4 linked regions of the Schizosaccharomyces pombe genome follow. The gene in region 3 interacts genetically with the main gene of each other region. Each region holds a gene or a part of one and is shown on either strand. Other genes may lie near its edges.

Evidence for each region.
Region 1: of spp42 (region 3) and prp4, a mutation in one rescues a mutant of the other (synthetic rescue), as found in Schizosaccharomyces pombe (one study listed by BioGRID).
Region 2: mutations in spp42 (region 3) and trx2 together harm fitness more than expected from each alone (negative genetic interaction), as found in Schizosaccharomyces pombe (one large-scale study listed by BioGRID).
Region 4: mutations in spp42 (region 3) and leu5 together harm fitness more than expected from each alone (negative genetic interaction), as found in Schizosaccharomyces pombe (one large-scale study listed by BioGRID).

What each region holds. Positions count from the first base shown.
Region 1 is NC_003421.2:1,620,538-1,625,027, reverse strand, and holds prp4 (serine/threonine protein kinase Prp4), read right to left. Parts: upstream 2,530-4,490; 5' UTR 2,292-2,529; coding exon 1,298-2,291; exon of another isoform or gene 1,190-1,297; coding exon 750-1,189; 3' UTR 553-749; downstream 1-552. Other genes in the region: tRNA dihydrouridine synthase Dus4, read right to left, coding at 1-326; retromer complex subunit Vps35, read right to left, coding at 2,691-2,996, 3,084-3,158, 3,206-3,263, 3,318-3,667, 3,711-3,824, 3,865-4,490. UniProt on the Schizosaccharomyces pombe protein: Has a role in pre-mRNA splicing and is essential for growth. Phosphorylates srp1.
Region 2 is NC_003423.3:2,316,820-2,320,217, reverse strand, and holds trx2 (thioredoxin Trx2), read left to right. Parts: upstream 1-1,687; 5' UTR 1,688-1,750; coding exon 1,751-1,884; intron 1,885-1,940; exon of another isoform or gene 1,941-1,966; coding exon 1,967-2,234; 3' UTR 2,235-2,809; downstream 2,810-3,398. Other genes in the region: ubiquitin-like protein modifier for cullin Ned8, read left to right, coding at 28-45, 117-229, 280-367; cyclin CycC-like Srb mediator subunit Srb11, read right to left, coding at 2,810-3,017, 3,082-3,398. UniProt on the Schizosaccharomyces pombe protein: Disulfide reductase which serves multiple functions in mitochondria, protecting mitochondrial components against thiol-oxidative damage as a thiol-disulfide oxidoreductase, and supporting urea cycle and respiration in mitochondria in a manner independent of active site thiols.
Region 3 is NC_003424.3:2,648,719-2,656,770, forward strand, and holds the start of spp42 (U5 snRNP complex subunit Spp42), read left to right. Parts: upstream 1-2,000; 5' UTR 2,001-2,019; coding exon 2,020-8,052. Other genes in the region: rng2 (IQ motif containing GTPase activating protein), read left to right, coding at 1-1,268.
Region 4 is NC_003424.3:2,015,934-2,021,008, reverse strand, and holds leu5 (coenzyme A transporter), read right to left. Parts: upstream 3,202-5,075; 5' UTR 2,641-3,201; coding exon 1,660-2,640; 3' UTR 1,252-1,659; coding exon of another isoform or gene 598-1,251; 3' UTR 527-597; downstream 1-526. Other genes in the region: GTPase Ras1, read left to right, coding at 521-526, 598-1,251; signal recognition particle subunit Srp21, read right to left, coding at 4,068-4,168, 4,311-4,500, 4,553-4,624; SPOM_SPAC17H9.06C (uncharacterized protein), read left to right, coding at 4,871-5,075.

The sequences.
Region 1 (4,490 bases), on a different chromosome or scaffold from region 3:
GGGCAACCACAGTTAATTCCAATACCATCTACATAGGGTCCAACAAGTTGTGCCGCCTTTTCCAAAATTACTGGGTCATCCACACCGAATTGTAGAATCAAGCTTGCATCTGCATCGTTTGTAGAAAAATCAAAATAACGTCCTTTAGGATGTAAAAATTCTTTTGCTAAAATCATCGGAGTATACACTATATCAGTGTTATAATCTCTCACTAGTTGCCTGAATGGTAACTTTGAATACCGCACCATTGGTGCCGCTATGTGTACAGGGCGTTTCCCTTTATTTATTTCAAATATTTTTACAGGATCCTTTAAACGATCTCTCATATTTTTATGATGAATTTTGGGTCACAGAGATTTTGTTAGGAATGTTGGCAATTGCTAAAATGTCCACGGCCATTGACAGCATATGTGACATCTACGCAGTTATCGAAATGTCGTTACCATTGGTTTTATTTCGCAAATGATAAAATAAAATGAAGCAATTAGTTTTGCATTAGTATCTAATTTGTTGAACGAGTATGAGACTCTTTCGACACAAACACTATTTACACTGGAGAAAGAAAATTGAAAACCACATAGATTTGTAAGTCAAACAACAAACCAGTTGGCGTTTCTACTATTCAAAATTGTTACACTTGGTTAGATAAAATATATACATTGATTGGTATTGATTGACCAGAGAGATCACGTAACTAAGAAACAGTGTCTGCTTCACTCTAAATTGATAGTTACCCATGAACCCGCAGTTTATTTTTTTATAAAGAAAGGATGCTTCAAAGCTACTTCAGGCGGTACGCGTTTCTCTGGATTAAGCTCCAAACATTTTTCCAAAAGATCCATAAGCTCTTGTCGAATTATAAATTCCTCATCAGTTGAAGTTGGGACTTCTTTTAAACGAGATCGAATGTCTTTGGTCGGCTTAGAGAATTTTACAGGTTTCCTCGTTTCTTGATTTGTAATGGGGTCATGATCAATTTGTATGAAATTGAAATCCGCGTCGAAATGGTCATTTAAAAATTGACTTCTTTTTAACATTTTATGACTGAACTTCCCCTTACATTCCATCATATAGCGAAGCATCTGGTTATTTGTTCGGCCAGGAAATAGTATTTGACCAGTATACAACTCATATAAAGAACATCCAACACTCCATGTATCTATTGGACACGAATAAGGAAAGCCTAAAACTATTTTAAAGGTTAGATCTTGAAAAAAGAGTACAAAAGTAATGAGAAGAAGAATTCAATTTCCATATTTTTGGAATTATAAGCAATTTGGCGTTTATTTAGACTTACTGATTTCTGGAGCACGATAAAATCGACTCACGAGGTACGGTGTTATTTCATTTTCAGAGGCATCTGAAGCAGAACCAAGGTCACATATTTTTAAAATATTTCTTTTTTCGTTCACCAGCATATTGTCCGGTTTGATATCTGAATGAATTACGTTGCATTGCTTCAACAAATCCAATGCCATGAACATTTGATAGGCATACAGACGAACAGCCTTTATACTCAACCCAACGTTACGCCCAAATTTTTTCAAAATGTCCCGAAGATTAAGACTTAACATCTCAAACACCATGCAAAGATGATTTTTGTGCATGAAATGCCTTTCATAGTGGATTATGTGCTGCTTACCTTCACGATCCGCTGCTTGCAGTCGCTCAAGAATTGATACTTCTTTGAGTCCCTCCTTATACATTACCTCATTGTTTCTAATTATTTTTATAGCGAAAGTTTGATTTCTATTCCGATCCAAAGCACTGACCACCGTAGAGAACATGCCTTTACCAAGGTTGGACTGAACGATGTAACGAGAATCCAATTCCTCCATAAGAACTACCTTATAATAACCTTCAATATCGTCCCAATTATCCTGCATATCTGCAAAACTCCTAGTTAGAGTGGAAATACCTTTCCCAGTGTTTTGCCGCTTAACAGAAGGCGAAGGAGAATCTGCAAACATGTCATCTTCAGTATCTTCAATTTGTACAGAAGATTTGATAGAGGGGGAATCACTAGTAGTACTATTAGTTACATCAAGCTTAGTATTAGAATTAGAACCTTCTTTGTTAATCTCAATTTTAGATGCATTGGTTTTCATTTTTGGTACAGCTTCGATAGGTTTCGTTGTAGAGACTTGGTCGACATCTTCTTTTAGCTTTTTCTCTGGAATTGACAAATCCGAATGGCCATTGCCAGTCTGTTGGTACTTCTTTAAAATTTCCAACCTCCGTTTCCGTCTTTGCTGTATAATTTCATCTTCTGCAAATCTATCGTCACTCATTTTAAGTCTATTGTAGTTCTTTACAATAAATATGTAATACGTCCATAGAAGTAGGTGTTTGACGAAGTGCTTGCAATGCCTGATGAAAAGTACTTTTTCAAGACAATAACACTATTGTTTTTTACCAATTAAGCCTCTTTTCTTTCTTTTTTTAATTAATGAGGCATACAAATGCAAATTTCGAATAAAAATTCAATATATTAGGAATACGGACTGAAGTGGCTATGATCGTAGCTTCAAGTACGAGTTGAAAAAAAAGTTTGGTAAGCAGTTTCTATTAGAAAAAAATCTAAGAACCTGAAATATAGCTGTCAAGAGAAAAATGAATAAATTAGTAATACAAAAATTTTATTAGAAGTATATTAGGGAGTAAGACATGATATAAACGCATACGAGAAATCATTGAAAAATACTAGACCAACGTTCATCTTCAGAACGTTTCTCTGCGTAAGCAGTTGCTCTTTCTAAATGATTTTTAAGAGAATCAATTACCGATACATTAGCAACCTCCCAGATCGAACTAGCATACGCTCTTGGATCACTAGCAATAAGGTCGGCAGGCGAGGATATTAAAATGGATCTCATGTTCTGCTCTGTAAGGTCAATTAGTCCACTTATATGTTTGGCAATGATAGATTCGCAATGCTGATCATAATAATAAAAGTAACGTTCCAATATATTGATAAAAAGCTTCAGGCTAGTAAGCTAAAAAAAAGTTAATAACAACATATGTCCTGAGAATAACATGTGAAAAAAGGATTTTACAAACGAAATTTAAATTTATGAGCATACCTGATCCATACAAGCATCAGCAATCTTGAGACTTTTTTGCAGACATTCGAGTACCCGTTTTGGATCCTGAAAAGGCTATAGGAATGTTAGTAAATATAGATGAGAAATCACAATTTGCTTACCCTTGAATCTTCTCCTGATGCGACCTGCCACCATAGATGACTAGCCAAGTAAATCCCACTAAAGTAAAAAATTAGTATAATCACTTTAATATATAGTATCATTGTTTCTTACCAACATTGATCAGGCTTTTTCAAAAGCTTTGAAGCATATAAAGTGCACTTTGTAATTAACGTGTCATAATCATCAACAGAGAAATTACGAGTTTTCTGTAATTTCCCGATAATCATTAGTAATTGTTGATATTGCAATTCAGAGTCAAGGACAGACTCCTCGTAAATAGAAAACGCCTGTGTGAAAAATTCGTAAGCAAAATCAGGATAATTTTCTTGATCAGCCATTTCAGCGGCACTTAAATATAATGCAAGGCACAGCTCTAAAGAATCTCCGTTTTTGTAAAGAACATTGATACAAGTGTTTACAAATTCCCAAAGAAGACGAACTTTCTCAGCCCAATCCATACACTAAATGTATTGTTAGTAAAGACTTGCAAAACACAAAATATACCTTAAATATTCGAAAGTTTCGTGCAAGGAATATGCATCTATTAACAACGACCGGCAAAAGATATTTGACATTCTCACCGGCTTTTATAAATGTATCTTTCAAGGATCGAAGTATCTAAGTTGTCAGTAAATCAGTAAGAAAAAAAATATAGTACCTCTATTTGAATTTGCGGGTCATCATTATTCAAATAATGAACCATCAAAGCAACGTTTTGTAAGTCATCAAGGCTATCAACTCCCTTTTTTTCAATAATGACAGACACAAAACCTAGTAGCTCTTGTGCTTCTGTAAGCTCACTTAATGAGTGGCCTTTTTCAATTATCTTTTGAACAATCATTCTTGCAATATCGTAACGAAGGTTTGGATCTTGCGCATTAAATACAGGAAGGAAATTCTGTAGCTCAAGACAGTAAGAAAAGGAAGGGAAATATGTAAGAGGAAGCAATAAAATTGCGCAAAGACTTTTTTGTAATGGACGTTCATGAAGAGCGCTTCGTAAGGAGGGCTGGTTAATGATATGTTCGTTAATGTATTGAAAAACACGATCTGCATACTGGGGTTTATAAGGGTAACACCGCAAGAAAAAATTGAGGATGCTAGAAAGTATAGAAACAATACAATCTAGTGGAAGACCACTACGAGATTGAATAACTTCAACAACATGTGACCATAAAACCTCTTGAATAGCATATTCTGGAGGAATTACTTTATCTCCAGGGCATTCTTGCTCGTCTTTTTGCTGTACTTCCTCATTAATTTTTATGTCTCCTAATTTTTCGG
Region 2 (3,398 bases), on a different chromosome or scaffold from region 3:
TTTATGTATACTAATATATAATCATAGACATTGACAGGGAAAGAGGTTCGTGTTTTAAATGTTGAAAACATTTATATGCAGTTATAATTCATCTATGTTTCTAACCAAAATATAAGATCGAATTAGACATTGATCCAAATGACAAGGTTTCTAGGATCAAAGAACGGGTTGAAGAAAAAGAGGGTATCCCTCCTTCACAGCAGCGTCTGATCTACGCTGGAAAGCAAATGTAAGCACTATGGGAACATCCATACAATGATTCTAACAAACATCACGTAGGGCTGATGATAAAAATGCTGAAAGTTATCATTTAGAAGGAGGCAGCGTCTTGCATCTTGTGTTAGCTCTTCGTGGAGGAAGTTGCTAGTTGTTGCATACTTTATTTATAAAGAAAAATTATGTATAAAAAATCATACTTTTATTTAACGCTATAAACGAAATCTTTTTACTGTTTTACTAATACTAAGAGTAACGAAATGAGAATTGAGTCGCTTTATTATTGCTCTGTTTCATTTTATGTGAATCTATTGATTTGTATAAAAATATTGCTTAAGCTTTTCTAAACTTAAGACGTTTTGGTGATCATGAATTTCAGCGATAAGATTGATTACTTCTTGTTAATTTATGAGTAAAGTAGTCGTAAAGAGACGTTTTGCACAGAAAAGTCAATATATAACAACAATTGCTTGCGCATTCCCATCTGATATCAAAGTATATAAAGCAGTAGCATGCGAAGCAAAACTTCCTCAGTACAACATCGAATGTAATTACCATAAACGCAAAATCTCTAGTAAGACTAAAAGAAAATGTTGTTTAAATAAAACTAACTGCAAAATGCTATGTAGCAAAAACATGGGCTGTTGTGGGAATCGAACCCACGACCACCATCACCCTAAGATGGTATCATACCACTAGACCAAACGGCCACATTGATAGGGGTGCCACTTAAACATATATAAAGGAAATATACATGTAAATCTATATAAATTACATTTTTAAGGAGGAAAGTATAATCAATATGCTTATAAATTGCCATTTCAATGTATTGATTCTCATTTTTCTATTTAAGAAGTTTTAAATTTTTTTTGTTTATGAGAAAGTGACATCGGCTTTAAGGAACTGCTCTATTTAAAAGCAAGAGAGATTCATTTAATTATAAATAGTCTGCATAAAGCCAAATTACTATTATAAAAATTAAAAAAAAATGATATTCTTTCTTAATTTCAAATTAATTCTGATAACCGGATTTTCGAAGTTTTATGTAATCTTAAGATTGAAGTACTAGTTTTTATAATCGTGAGTACAAAAAATCCATCCAAAAATCTTTGGGCTGTATATTTAAGAACAAATTAAAGTAACTTTAGTTTAATCAACAAAGGTAAGGATTTATAAACTTCATTAGGTGTTTTTTAAAGTTATTAAAAAAAAAAAAAAAAAAAAAAAAATCTCTCAAATTGTTCGGCTACAGATTTTTTGAAAGCTTCTATTTTCCAATAAGGATTCTAATAAAATATAATAAAGAGGGAAAAATGATGCTAAATTATAATTTTTTTTATTGGTTTCCCAAATTTTTAATCTTTTTTTATTGAATTAATGTTGTAATAATTTAAAAAATATTGTATTAAAGAGTAATGTTTATGATCGCAACTAAGCACTTTTCTCCGCCTGGCGGTAGTTCTAGCTTACTAAGTGCTATAATTTCACCTATTTAAATTTTTGATTAAAACCGTCAACCAAAATTATAATTCAAATGCGTGGATTTATTGCAAACTCTTTAAAGCCGCATATGAGATCTTTTGCTCTGCGCAGAAGTTTTACTAGCTCTCGTATTTTGAGAAAGGTGAACGCAGTTGAATCGTTTGGCGATTACAATACTCGAATTAGGTATGTATAGTCAATAATATATCATAGTAAAAAATAAAAGATAAAACTTTTTCGAATAGATCTCCTTGCTAATTGCTACTAGTGCTGACAAAGTTACCGTCGTTGATTTCTATGCAGACTGGTGCGGTCCTTGCAAATACCTCAAACCGTTTCTTGAAAAATTAAGCGAACAAAATCAGAAAGCATCTTTTATTGCTGTTAATGCAGATAAATTTTCTGATATTGCTCAAAAGAACGGTGTTTATGCCTTGCCTACCATGGTATTGTTTCGTAAGGGTCAAGAATTGGACAGAATCGTCGGCGCTGATGTGAAAACTTTATCTTCTTTGTTGGCAAAATATCAAGAATAGAATATGGGATATTGGTGTCCCCATTCGTAAATTGCTTGATTTACTTTCTCGATTCAATTTGTTGATTGCACTGTATTATGTCAAAACTAGGTTTTAAAAACTTGACACGGCTTATTTTATTTAAGATTTAAGATTTAAGGGTTTTTACTTTATGAATTTCATTATATAATTGCCGGACCAAATTTGCTGAAATCAAAAATATCCTTTCAGAAATACCTAATAGGGGAATGTTCAACTCAATTAACACAGGAAGCTACAAGAATGAGCTATTTTATAACAACGTGAGTATTTCTATGAGGTGATTAAGGAATAATTTTTGAGGTTCATAGATAAAGCATTAATATATCCTTTACGTTTGTGACATAACCATTCGATTTTGGATATTATTACACAGATACTGCTCTATTTATTCATTTAGACATAACACCATGAACGAGAATGCGTATATAATACACGGTTTTAAACCAGACAACAAAACATAATTTCAGGCATTAATCAGCAATAAAGAAAAATCTAATTATAGTTTTCGTTTTTAACAAAATTTGAGGCTCTAAATGTATAGTGTATTCAAGAAGTTATTCAATATCCTCAAAATAATAAATAGAAATTATGCGTTGAACACATAATATAACTTTGAAGGCATCAGTACTCTTTATTAAATCCAAAAGCTTAGGAATTGTATTTTCATCATTGCAACAACTTATTAATAAAGCGGCATACGCAAGTTGATGAGGATGTGCCATTAAACATAAACTGCTGGCATATGAATCGTTAACAATGCTCCTATTTCCTCGATCGTTAGAAAAATCTAATCGACTGTGATTTTCAATATAAGAAGTATACATACCAAGCAAACTCAAGCTGCTTTTGATTGATAATGCCATCATGAAATGCTTGCTCAAGAGAAGTGTAGGGATGGTGAACAATGAGAAATGCATCAAGGACTGAAATGATTTCAAATTCTATTTCGGAAATATTAGAACGACTAAGTTTAACTTTTAGGCTCCAGAGATCATTAGCCTCATTGCAAATTGTGCGAATGTGAACAGGGCATTCTTCCACTTTGCATGATAAATAAATGCATGTAGCCACTAGCGCCTCCAAAGAAAAACCCTTTTCCTCATTTTTTTTTAGCATGTAACGCCTTAATAAAACGATGGCTGT
Region 3 (8,052 bases):
TGTCAAGCATTTTGTCTGAGATCTTTTCAATCGAGTCCTGTGACTCTAAGCAACTTGGTTTTTTTAGACCACTCTCCGAGTTTATTGAGGTGTCCAAGCAGGATACCATGTTGATGCTAGAAAGGCTTGTCGATGTGGTTGATCCAGAGGTGTACTTTGAGTTCGATGCTTTTGAAGACCTTGTTAATACCAAGCGGCCAGTAATATACATGAAGCGAGACGATATTTTAGGCATTTATTCATCTATTGCATATGTCATAGATAGTATTGCTCCTCCTGATGTGAACGATCCATTACGCGCTGTTGTCAATAGCTTAGGTCCTGTTTCAGAGCAAGACAATGACTTTGTGCAAGATGAAACTGACGTCAAACTAGAATTGAATCCCAAATTTTGCACTATAGAAAATCCCGTTGCTCAGGAACGGACTCTTATTGTTCAGACAAAGAGATATATATTATTTATTATTCGAATTCAAAATGGCCTTAATCTTTTGGAAATACTTGTCAAACCGGTTACAGATTCAGACGAAGCAGCATGGCAAAATTTATTGGCAGAAGAATCTGAAAAGAATGCAAGGAATTATGATTTGTTTGATGATTCTATCTTTTCAATGTCATTTGCAGAACTGAAATACACTGCACTAAGCAATATAGTGGAAATGGAAAAGCTTGGATTTGCAAACCGACGGAATAATTACCAAGATATGGTAAATTCTATCGCTCTAGATATCCGTAATAAGTCGAGAAGAAGGATGCAACGACAGCGTGAACTTGATGCGGGACATCAAAGTTTGCTTAACTTACGAGAAAAAAGAGCTTTCCTTGATTCGCAGCTAAAAAGTTATAACGAATACATTGAACAAGCTATGGAAACATTACAATCAAAGAAGGGTAAGAAGAAGCTTATTCCTTTTTCTAAACAGTATTTTCACATGCGAGATCTCCGAAAATCTGGACGCGTTCCTCGCTTTGGGTCGTTCAAGTACCCAGCTCTTAAACTCTATGACCGAGGAGTTTTGGTATCAATATCTCATATGCCGCAGAAAGAAAAATTGTATATTACTATATCAGCCGATGAAGTTGGCAAATTTATTCTGGAAGCAACAAGCCCGACAGTTAAAGTTTCGAGCCCAAGGTGTGAATTGCATTTGGACGACTTGTTGTCTGCTCAATATAACAAGGTTTTAACTTTGGATGTTTTGGATGGCCGTCTCAAATTAAACACCAATATGTTCTTACATTTGATTTTCTCCAAATTTTATTCATGAGACGTTTCACTTTGTTCATTTTTCCGTCTCTTTAACTACCCAATGATTTAATTCGAATTAACTTAAAACCGTCAAATATCTTTGCACATTAATACTTGTCCATATTCTTTTGGCGAAATATGTATACTATGTGATATTTTCTCCCCTTTAATTCTGATAATTTGCACAGTTTTCCCATTTCATTCACTTAGTGTGGGGGGTTTTTTTATCACTACTTGTGTTTACTTATACTGTACAAATCTTATTTAACTCGGTGTTATTTTTCAAATTTTTTTTTTCAACTAAAGCCGTTGAACCTGAAACACTAAATCAAGGAATAGGAATTTTTGGTTTATGCATACTAGTTGTACTTGGTAATTTATACTTTCTGAATTAGTTAAAGGTTTATAATTACAAATAACACTTTTTTATAACAAAATGTAATTTATGTCAATACATACATCTTTACTAATTCTTATAAGGCGATTCGATTGAGCATGATTATGTTCAAATTAACCTTTGGATATGGGTAGGTGTTTGGTTGACAAACTTCTTAAGCGTGTTGCATTTTAACGAAGAAAATTTGAATTTTCAAATCCCGTATAGCGTGTAAAAAAATATACATTAAACACGTATTATGAGCAGAAGACTACATAGACCTAATATGAAATAAAACGCACAAAAGAATATTACGCACAAATAATGGCGAGGGTCACCACCATACAAAGTAATATTCACTACCACAATTCAGCTGACAAATACCATTACCTAAATGGCGTCGTTACCACCGGGGAATCCTCCTCCACCGCCTCCTCCGCCTGGATTTGAGCCTCCTTCACAGCCTCCACCTCCTCCACCTCCAGGTTATGTGAAGAAAAGAAAAAACAAGACTCCAGCACAGTCTGGAAATCTTGAAAAGCAACTTAACGAAAGAGCACGCAAATGGCGCGCTTCTCAAAAATCAAAGTTTGGTGTCAAAAGGAAGCAGGGTTATGTTCAAACAGAGAAAGCTGATCTTCCGCCTGAGCACCTGCGCAAAATTATGAAAGACAGGGGAGATATGTCTTCTAGGAAGTTTCGTGCTGATAAACGTTCCTATTTGGGCGCTTTGAAGTACTTGCCACATGCTGTGCTAAAATTGCTTGAGAACATGCCAATGCCTTGGGAAGAATACAGGGAGGTCAAGGTTTTATATCATGTAACCGGTGCTATAACTTTTGTAAACGAGAGTCCTCGCGTAATTGAACCGCATTTTATTGCTCAATGGGGAACGATGTGGATGATGATGAGACGCGAGAAGCGTGATCGAAAAAATTTTAAGCGTTTGCGGTTTCCTCCTTTTGACGATGAAGAGCCACCATTTTCTATTGATCAATTGCTTGATTTAGAGCCGTTAGAGGCTATTAGAATGGACTTAGATGAAGAAGATGACGCTCCTGTTATGGATTGGTTTTACGAAAATAAGGCTTTGGAAGATACTCCCCATGTAAATGGTCCAACCTATCGTCGTTGGAAGCTTAATTTACCTCAGATGGCTAATTTACATCGTTTAGGTTACCAACTTTTGAGTGATTTACGCGATGATAATTACTTTTACTTGTTTAATGACAATAGTTTCTTTACGGCTAAAGCTTTGAACGTGGCTATCCCAGGAGGTCCGAAATTTGAACCTTTATACAAAGACGAAGCCCCAGAAATGGAAGATTGGAATGAATTTAATGACATTTATAAACTTATTATCCGACATCCCATTAAAACTGAATACCGGATAGCGTTTCCTTACCTTTATAATTCTAGAGCTCGAAGCGTTGCACTAAGTGAATACCACCAACCGTCTAATGTTTTCGTTCCTCCTGAGGATCCTGATCTTCCGGCTTTTTTTTGGGATCCCATAATAAACCCCATCACTTCCCGCCAACTCACTTTGCATGAACTAGATACCTCTCCCGAAGATTCTGCCATAGAAGAAGATCCTAATTTTGAAATCCCTTTCGATCCTTTCTTTCATTCCGAAGATATAGAATTTGAGCACACAGCCAGTGCTCTGATTTTATTGTGGGCACCCCATCCTTTTAATAAGCGATCTGGTGCGACTAAGCGTGCGCAAGATGTTCCACTGATAAAGCATTGGTATTTAGAGCATTGTCCTCCTAATCAGCCTGTTAAAGTTCGTGTGTCATATCAAAAACTTTTAAAATCCCATGTTATGAATAAGTTGCACATGGCGCATCCCAAATCGCACACCAATCGCAGCTTACTTAGACAGTTAAAAAATACTAAATTTTTTCAAAGTACTTCTATCGATTGGGTTGAAGCTGGTCTCCAAGTTTGTCGCCAAGGGTACAACATGCTGCAATTACTTATTCACAGAAAAGGGTTGACATATTTACATTTGGATTACAACTGTAATTTAAAACCTACAAAGACATTAACTACGAAGGAAAGAAAGAAATCTAGGTTTGGTAATGCATTTCACTTGATGCGCGAAATACTTCGCCTTACTAAATTAATTGTCGATTCTCATGTACAGTATCGTTTGGGAAACATTGACGCATATCAGCTAGCTGATGGATTACATTACATATTTAATCATGTTGGTCAACTTACGGGAATGTATCGTTATAAATATCGATTGATGCGGCAGATTCGTGCTTGCAAAGATTTCAAGCATCTTATTTATTATCGCTTCAACACTGGTCCTGTTGGCAAAGGTCCAGGTTGTGGGTTTTGGGCTCCCAGTTGGCGTGTATGGCTTTTCTTTCTACGCGGAATTGTTCCTTTGCTAGAGCGCTGGCTGGGCAATTTGCTTGCTAGACAATTTGAAGGCCGTCATTCTACAGGAGTGGCAAAACAAATAACCAAGCAGCGTGTCGATTCTCATCAAGATCTAGAATTGAGGGCTGCAGTGATGAATGATATTTTGGATATGATACCTGAAGGAATTCGCCAAGGCAAAAGCAAAACCATTTTGCAGCATCTTAGTGAAGCTTGGCGTTGTTGGAAGGCTAACATACCTTGGAAGGTTCCGGGTCTCCCTGCACCTATTGAGAATATGATTTTGAGATATGTGAAGTCAAAAGCAGATTGGTGGACCTCAGTCGCTCACTTCAATCGTGAACGTATTCGTCGAGGAGCTACTGTTGATAAAACCGTGGCGAAAAAGAATCTTGGCAGATTAACTAGGCTTTGGTTAAAAGCTGAACAAGAAAGGCAACATAATTATCTAAAAGATGGACCTTATGTAACTGCCGATGAGGCAGTTGCTATATATACTACTTTTGTACATTGGTTAGAAAGTAGGCGATTCCAACCTATTCCCTTTCCTCCACTTTCGTACAAACATGATACGAAACTTCTTGTTTTAGCACTTGAACGCTTAAAAGAAGCGTATTCGGTGAAGGGTCGCTTGAATCAATCCCAACGAGAGGAATTAGCATTAGTGGAACAAGCCTACGATAATCCACATGAGATGCTGTCCCAAATTAAAAGGCGTTTATTGACAATGCGTACTTTTAAAGAGGTAGGGATTGAGTTTATGGATATGTATTCTCACTTGATTCCTGTTTATTCTGTAGATCCGATGGAGAAAATTTGTGATGCTTATCTCGATCAATACCTTTGGTTTGAGGCCGATCGTCGACACCTATTTCCTTCCTGGGTAAAGCCTTCTGATTCAGAACCTCCACCTCTTCTTGTTTACAAATGGTGCCAAGGAATTAATAATCTTACAGATGTTTGGGAAACTTCCAACGGCGAATGTAACGTTTTAATGGAAACTAGGCTGTCTAAAGTATTTGAGAAAGTTGACTTAACACTTCTTAATAGACTGATGTCATTACTAATGGACACCAATTTAGCTTCCTACGCTAGTGCTAAAAACAACGTTGTTTTGTCATATAAGGATATGTCGCATACCAACTCGTATGGCCTAGTCCGTGGTTTACAATTTTCAAGTTTCATCTGGCAGTTTTATGGATTAGTGTTGGATTTACTAATACTTGGCCTTCAACGCGCTACAGAAATAGCTGGTCCTGCAGATGCACCGAATGATTTTCTACACTTCAAAGATCAGGCAACTGAGACCAGTCACCCTATTCGACTGTATACACGCTATATTGATAAAGTTTATATAATGTTTCGATTTACTGATGAAGAATCCCGTGATTTGATTCAACGATTTTTGAATGAAAATCCTGATCCCACAAACAGCAATGTTGTAAATTATTCTAAAGGTAAAAAAAATTGTTGGCCTCGAGATGCTCGTATGAGACTCATGAAACACGACGTGAATCTCGGACGTGCTGTCTTTTGGGAGATTCGTAATCGTTTACCTAGATCACTAACTACCCTTGAGTGGGAGGATACCTTTCCTAGTGTTTACAGCAAAGACAATCCTAATTTATTGTTCTCGATGACAGGATTCGAGGTTAGAATCCTTCCAAAGATCCGACAAAATGAAGAATTTTCTTTGAAGGATGGTGTATGGAATCTCACAGATAATCGTACGAAACAACGGACAGCGCAAGCTTTCATACGTGTTACGGAGGATGGTATAAATCAATTTGGAAACCGTATACGTCAGATTCTTATGTCCTCTGGTTCCACTACCTTTACCAAGATTGCTAATAAATGGAATACTGCTCTAATAGCTCTCATGACTTATTATAGGGAAGCCGCGATTTCTACGCCCGAGCTTCTAGATTTACTTGTTAAATGTGAATCGAAAATACAAACTCGAGTAAAAATTTCATTAAATTCTAAAATGCCTAGTCGCTTTCCTCCAGCCGTTTTCTACTCGCCTAAAGAACTTGGTGGATTAGGAATGCTTTCAATGGGTCATGTACTTATTCCACAATCTGATCTTAGATGGTCGAAACAAACTGATACTGGTATTACTCATTTTCGAAGTGGAATGACTACCAATGGAGAACATTTGATTCCAAACCTTTATCGTTATATTCAGCCATGGGAATCAGAGTTTATTGACTCTCAGCGTGTATGGGCTGAGTATGCAATGAAGAGACAAGAAGCTCTACAACAAAATCGTCGTTTAACTTTAGAGGATCTGGAAGATTCATGGGATCGAGGAATTCCTCGTATAAATACTCTATTTCAAAAAGATAGACACACATTGGCATATGATAAAGGATGGCGTGTTAGGACTGAGTTTAAGCAGTACCAGCTCCTTAAAAACAATCCATTCTGGTGGACGAGTCAAAGACATGATGGAAAATTATGGCAATTAAATAATTACCGAGTAGATGTCATTCAGGCTTTAGGTGGTGTCGAAGGTATTTTGGAGCATACGATGTTTAAAGCTACTGGATTTCCTTCATGGGAAGGTCTTTTTTGGGAAAAAGCATCTGGTTTTGAAGAATCCATGAAGTTCAAAAAGCTTACTAATGCTCAGCGTTCAGGTTTAAATCAAATCCCTAACCGTAGATTTACGCTTTGGTGGAGTCCCACTATCAATCGTGCTAACGTTTATGTCGGATTTCAAGTACAACTGGATTTGACTGGAATCATGATGCATGGCAAAATTCCAACCCTGAAGATTTCACTCATTCAAATTTTTCGTTCTCATTTATGGCAAAAAATTCATGAATCTGTTGTTTGGGATTTGTGTCAAGTGCTTGACCAAGAATTAGAGTCATTGCAAATTGAAACAGTCCAAAAAGAAACTATCCATCCTCGTAAAAGTTATAAAATGAATAGTTCTTGTGCAGATATCCTCCTTTTGGCTGCCTATAAATGGAACGTATCAAGGCCATCCTTATTGAACGATAATCGCGATGTGCTTGACAACACTACCACCAACAAATATTGGATTGATGTACAACTTCGATTTGGAGATTATGATTCTCATGATATTGAACGTTATACTAGAGCTAAATTTTTGGATTATAGCACTGATGCTCAAAGCATGTATCCTTCACCGACCGGTGTCTTAATCGGCATTGATCTTTGTTACAATATGCATAGTGCATATGGTAACTGGATTCCTGGTATGAAACCATTAATTCAACAGAGCATGAACAAGATCATGAAAGCCAATCCAGCCTTATATGTGTTGCGTGAACGCATACGAAAAGGTCTTCAATTATATGCTTCTGAACCCCAAGAGCAGTATTTGTCCTCCTCAAATTATGCTGAACTCTTTAGTAATCAAATTCAATTATTCGTTGATGATACTAATGTTTATCGGGTTACCATTCATAAAACATTTGAAGGTAATTTGACTACGAAACCCATTAATGGTGCTATTTTTATATTCAATCCGAGAACTGGTCAATTGTTCTTAAAAGTTATTCATACGTCAGTTTGGGCGGGACAAAAACGATTGGGACAATTGGCGAAATGGAAGACTGCTGAAGAAGTTGCTGCTTTGATTCGTTCTCTGCCTGTTGAAGAACAACCTCGACAGATTATAGTAACTCGAAAGGGCATGTTGGATCCATTAGAAGTTCATCTTTTGGACTTTCCTAATATAACCATTAAGGGTAGTGAATTACAGCTTCCTTTCCAAGCGATTATTAAACTTGATAAAATCAATGATTTGATTTTACGTGCCACCGAACCGCAAATGGTACTTTTCAATTTATATGATGACTGGCTTCAATCGGTATCATCGTATACAGCTTTTTCACGCTTGATACTTATCTTGCGCGCATTGAATGTCAATACTGAGAAAACGAAGCTAATTCTTAGACCAGACAAGTCTATAATTACAAAAGAGAATCACGTGTGGCCCAACCTGGATGATCAACAATGGCTTGATGTTGAACCGAAACTTAGAGATTTGATC
Region 4 (5,075 bases), 630 kb from region 3:
ACTTGAGCAAAATTTTTAGAAGCTTTTTAATTTTAATAAAGAAATATTTAATGTTCAGTATAGAAAGTTCAAAAGCAATACTTAAATTTGCTGCTAATTTGGTTAAGTTGGGCTGAATAGGGAATTCTTCAAACAATACTTCGTATGCTTTTAAAGGTAGACAAAGCACTAATGCAATATATCTGTCAAATACAAATGGCAGAATTTTTGGTATTTTAATAGAAGATCAAATGTTTATTGATGGATTTAACATAATTAGCTGTTAACATTAATATTTCGTTTTTATTGCACCAGATACCTTTAAAAAATTATAACTTCTGAATTTCTTTATTACTAGCTTGTCGGTTTGCCATCAGTAATTGTTGACTGCATTACTTGAAAACTGCCAAACACATTTTAACGAGCTTAAGACCAACCAATATTTTTTAATTACCAAGCCTACACACTTTTTGTATTTTGTTTTAAAAGCAACCTAAAGAAATATACGATTAAACTTAGTGTGCTTTATAAAATAGTGAATATGAGGGTAAGTCTAAGCAATGACTTGGGGTTATCTTTTATTGATTACAACAAACTAATCAACGATAATATTTATAGTCTACCTACTTAAGAGAGTACAAATTGGTAGTTGTAGGAGATGGTGGTGTTGGTAAAAGTGCTTTGACAATTCAATTAATTCAATCGCATTTTGTTGACGAATACGATCCTACAATCGAAGATTCATATCGGAAAAAGTGTGAAATTGATGGTGAAGGTGCGCTTTTAGATGTATTGGACACGGCCGGTCAAGAGGAATATTCCGCTATGCGTGAACAATATATGAGAACCGGAGAGGGTTTTTTATTAGTTTATAATATTACCTCTCGGTCCTCTTTTGACGAAATTTCTACATTTTATCAACAAATCCTTAGAGTTAAGGATAAGGATACATTTCCAGTCGTTTTAGTGGCTAATAAATGCGACCTTGAAGCTGAACGTGTAGTTTCAAGAGCTGAAGGCGAACAACTTGCAAAAAGCATGCATTGTTTATATGTTGAAACTTCGGCGAAGCTAAGGTTAAATGTAGAAGAAGCTTTTTATAGTTTGGTTCGCACGATCCGTCGCTATAACAAATCAGAAGAAAAAGGTTTTCAGAATAAGCAGGCCGTCCAGACTGCCCAAGTTCCAGCTTCAACTGCTAAAAGAGCTAGCGCTGTAAATAACAGTAAAACCGAAGATGAGGTTTCAACTAAATGTTGTGTTATATGTTAGCAAGTATTATTGCAGAATATTTGAGCTGTTTGGTGAATGCACCGTTCCTGTCTTTTGTTTCATCTCTTTCTTTTCATTTCAATAATTGTTTTTTCATTTAACACAATTATTAGCAGCTATCTTTAAGTACTTCATTTTCCCTTTGAACCATTTGCACATCTAGTTTTGGCTGCTAGTATGATAGCAAATTATTCAATTCAGAGTTGTGGACTTAGAAAAAACGTGTTATTTGACTTTGGGTTGCTATTTCTTGTTCCGTTTTAATAAAATACATCTCTTTCATTGCATGGTCACGATGTAACAATCTGCAACTAATGAATATATCATACACCTATAATCCCGTAGATCTTTTTTTATAAATTTTTAAAAAAGGGATAATTTTTTTCATAGAAAACTATGTCTGCAGTCTCAATCTATCCCTAAAAGCGCTTTGCTGTGATTGTAAACAAAAAAGCTAGTGCTTACCATTGGGATAACCTTAATGTAACCTATGGTAAGTCCAACGAAAAAACCTCTCATACCGGCTTCTTTGTAAGTAGTTTGTACTACCTGCTTAAGTCTAAGAAATGATTTATTTTTTCTGATACCACCAATTTGCATTTTTCGTCGACAAACTTCGAATGGGTAAGAAACCGTTTGACCACAAACTCCTGCAAATGCTCCACAAAGTAGTTCGGGCCAAGTTTTAAGTTTTTTATCTGACTTTTTTGTAGAAACCCATTCGTCAATTTTTTGTTTATGAAAAAAATCAGTTGCAAGATCGTAGGCAAGAAACGACATACCAGCATATGGAAAGATTCCAGTTAACGTAACAGAAAATCCACGATAAAAATTACAGATTTTTGACAAACGGGATAACCCAGGATACTTCTTATTGCACAAAAAATCACGTTCGTGAAATATATCTTTTGTAACTTGAGTTAGGGTAGGATTCTTCCCTGTATTGGTTATGTAGGCTAAACGAACACGAATCAGCTCTAACGGGTATGTAAAAAAAACAGAGCAAGTTCCGGCAAGTGATCCTGATAAAAATCGCCGAGCATGTGTTTCATGTTCAGGGTCACGAATTAAAACACGCCGTACTTGTTCGTATGCAACAAATTTAATGCCCGCATAAGGGAAGACTCTGTATAAAGTAGCAGTGTGGCCTTGATAAAGACCGTGTAAGCCATAGACGTGGTAAATGTGTTTGATAGCCTTATAAAGCCCATGCCGTGAATAAGCATACCCTCGATAAGAAGCGTGATTGGTTTGGTAAAGGATTTTCACTCTATCTAATGGGGCAACTACTGATTTTGCAACGCATCCAGCTGTACCACCAGCAATTCCAGATTTGACTAAGAATTCCCATGAATCCTTTTCCGGATATTGGGCAGTTGAGTTAGGCATGTAGAATCCCTGAAAGTGTTTAAGTTAAATAAAGAGGGGATTAAAAAGATAAATGGAAGGACAAAACTTTTCGTACCAAATGCCTAAACATAAAAAAATTGTTAAAACTGAACGTTTTCAACTTCTTACTACAAACAAAATTACATGTAAATAAGATTTAGCATCAAATGTCCAAATATCTTGGATCAATAACAGTGATTGAAGGAACACGAGAACACTTATAGTAGTAGCAAACAGTAATCTGAATAGAAAACACTTCAGATTGTCCAACAAGATTACCTATAAAGCAATCAATTATGCTTTTGAAAGAAAATGAAAGTATCTTTTAGCTTCTGTTAGAATTCCAGTAAGCCCATAGGTAAGGTAAAAAAAAGGCTGTAATTTAACAAATATATTTGTAGGCTAATAATAAAGGATCAAAAGAAAACCAATCCGTTGCTAAAAAATAAAAAATTAAGCCCCTGAGTATCCCAATAATAAATAAAGAAAGGCACTCCTAATGCTCAAATAATTGTTGAGTTGCCGATTTTTTGGTGTTAATGCCCACAGCACTGGAAGGTGGAAATTAAGCAGGCAGTAATATATTTCTCATAATTAAACAAAAACGTTTACTCAATAGCTTTGGAGATAATTGATGATAATAATTTTGTTTAGATCAATCATAGATTAACATAATAAGAATTTTTGAACTATGATGCTAATTCTCTCAACCTACATAAATTGGTTTATGAACAAAATGGTAAACAAAATGTGATAAACTTAAATAAAGATACTATTAAGGTGAAAATGAAGTTGTGTCTATACATATCCATATTAAAAAAGTTGCTCTAGCAAACTTTAAAAGGAAAATTGCTTGTATATTGAATATGAAGTTCACACTGTAGTAAACTAGTTTTTGTGCAATCGGTAACTGTAAACAAACGATATTTTAAAAGCAGAAACATCAACTTTTTTTACTTATTTGCTAATGCAGTAAAACTTTTCATCCTTGTCTAAACGATCTGTCCTAGCGAATGAATAATGAAATTCACCGAATAAAGATTTTTGTACTAAATAATATGTTACCAACTGTGCATAAAGGAAATATTATATTTTAGCACTTGAAATACCTGTAAATGAATACACATGCTTGTTATACTTTTATAACCAATCACATCGGTAATACCAATGCGAATGCATCCTTTTGATTATGTATAGCATTTGCAAATAAAAAATGATATTAAGAAAGAAGGGGCCATTATTCATGTTGGTCGAATAAGAAAGTACAGAACGACTGACTTACACTGCAAATTATCCTTTTTACCTTTATTGATAAACCGAGAGAATTGCTATTGTAAGATAAAAGTAAAGAATTAATCCGATCCTAAGATATCTAACGTGACACTAAATGAACAAAATGAAAAAAAAAAACACGCCAAGTGCTACACTCATTTCTTCTTCCCCCTTTTTTTTTTCTTTGAACCCTTAGGAGGAGCGGAAGGCTCCGCTTTCTTTTGCTCTGTAACCGGAGAAGCCACTACCTCTTGTTCTATATAACATGACTGTTAGCGAAACGTAAAAATTAGAAGAGCATAGTTACATTAATAACTACTTTTAAAGGAAAACATCTTCCTTCCAAGCGCTTCTTTTTATAACAATGCAAAAACAATTGATATACTAATAATACATACCTGGTTCAGGAGGAATTTCGTTACCTGTGGAGACATAACTAAGTTTGTTTGCAATTAGAAGTAATCTGCCAAGTTCAGCCGCCTTGTCAGTCCTATATTTTAGACATATTCCAGAAGCACTTTCAAAGGCTTTCGCGATTAAATAATTTTGACTCTGCTCATTCGTGCGATATTTGATACTAAGTTTGGTCTAAATGAAAAAAGTCAGAGTTTGATTATCAAAGATATCATCAACACCATACCGTTTTTGGATAAGCCTCCGTTAATGATTTTGACTGTGTGAAGAACTCATTCACAGTTTGCAGGTAAACCATGGTATAGTGGCTGATGGTAGGATCAACACATCAGGCATGCACCTCGTAGTGTTGTCTGAAACACAACTAAGTTATATTTGAGTCAATCGAAGGTTACTAAAATTGAATATAATTCATCCAAAAAACGTAAAAGCTTTTTTTACTATTTTTTCTACTTTTTGGTATACTATATTGGTTTTTCACGTATAACAAACTACTGAAACTATTAGTCGACAAATCTGTCAACTTAAAACATTCCCCTAATTTATGGTATCAAATCAAGACAATGTACAGAGAAATGATGTTCAAAAGTATCCGATAACTAGGTTTGTAAAGCGAAAGAGCAATGTTGTGCTTAAAAAGAACAAAGGAGCTATGAAATCGAATTCAAATTCACGCAGTAGAGGGAACAAAAAATTAAAAGAATCCCAATTTTCTTCTCGAGATAATTTTAGAACCACTCAAACTCAAG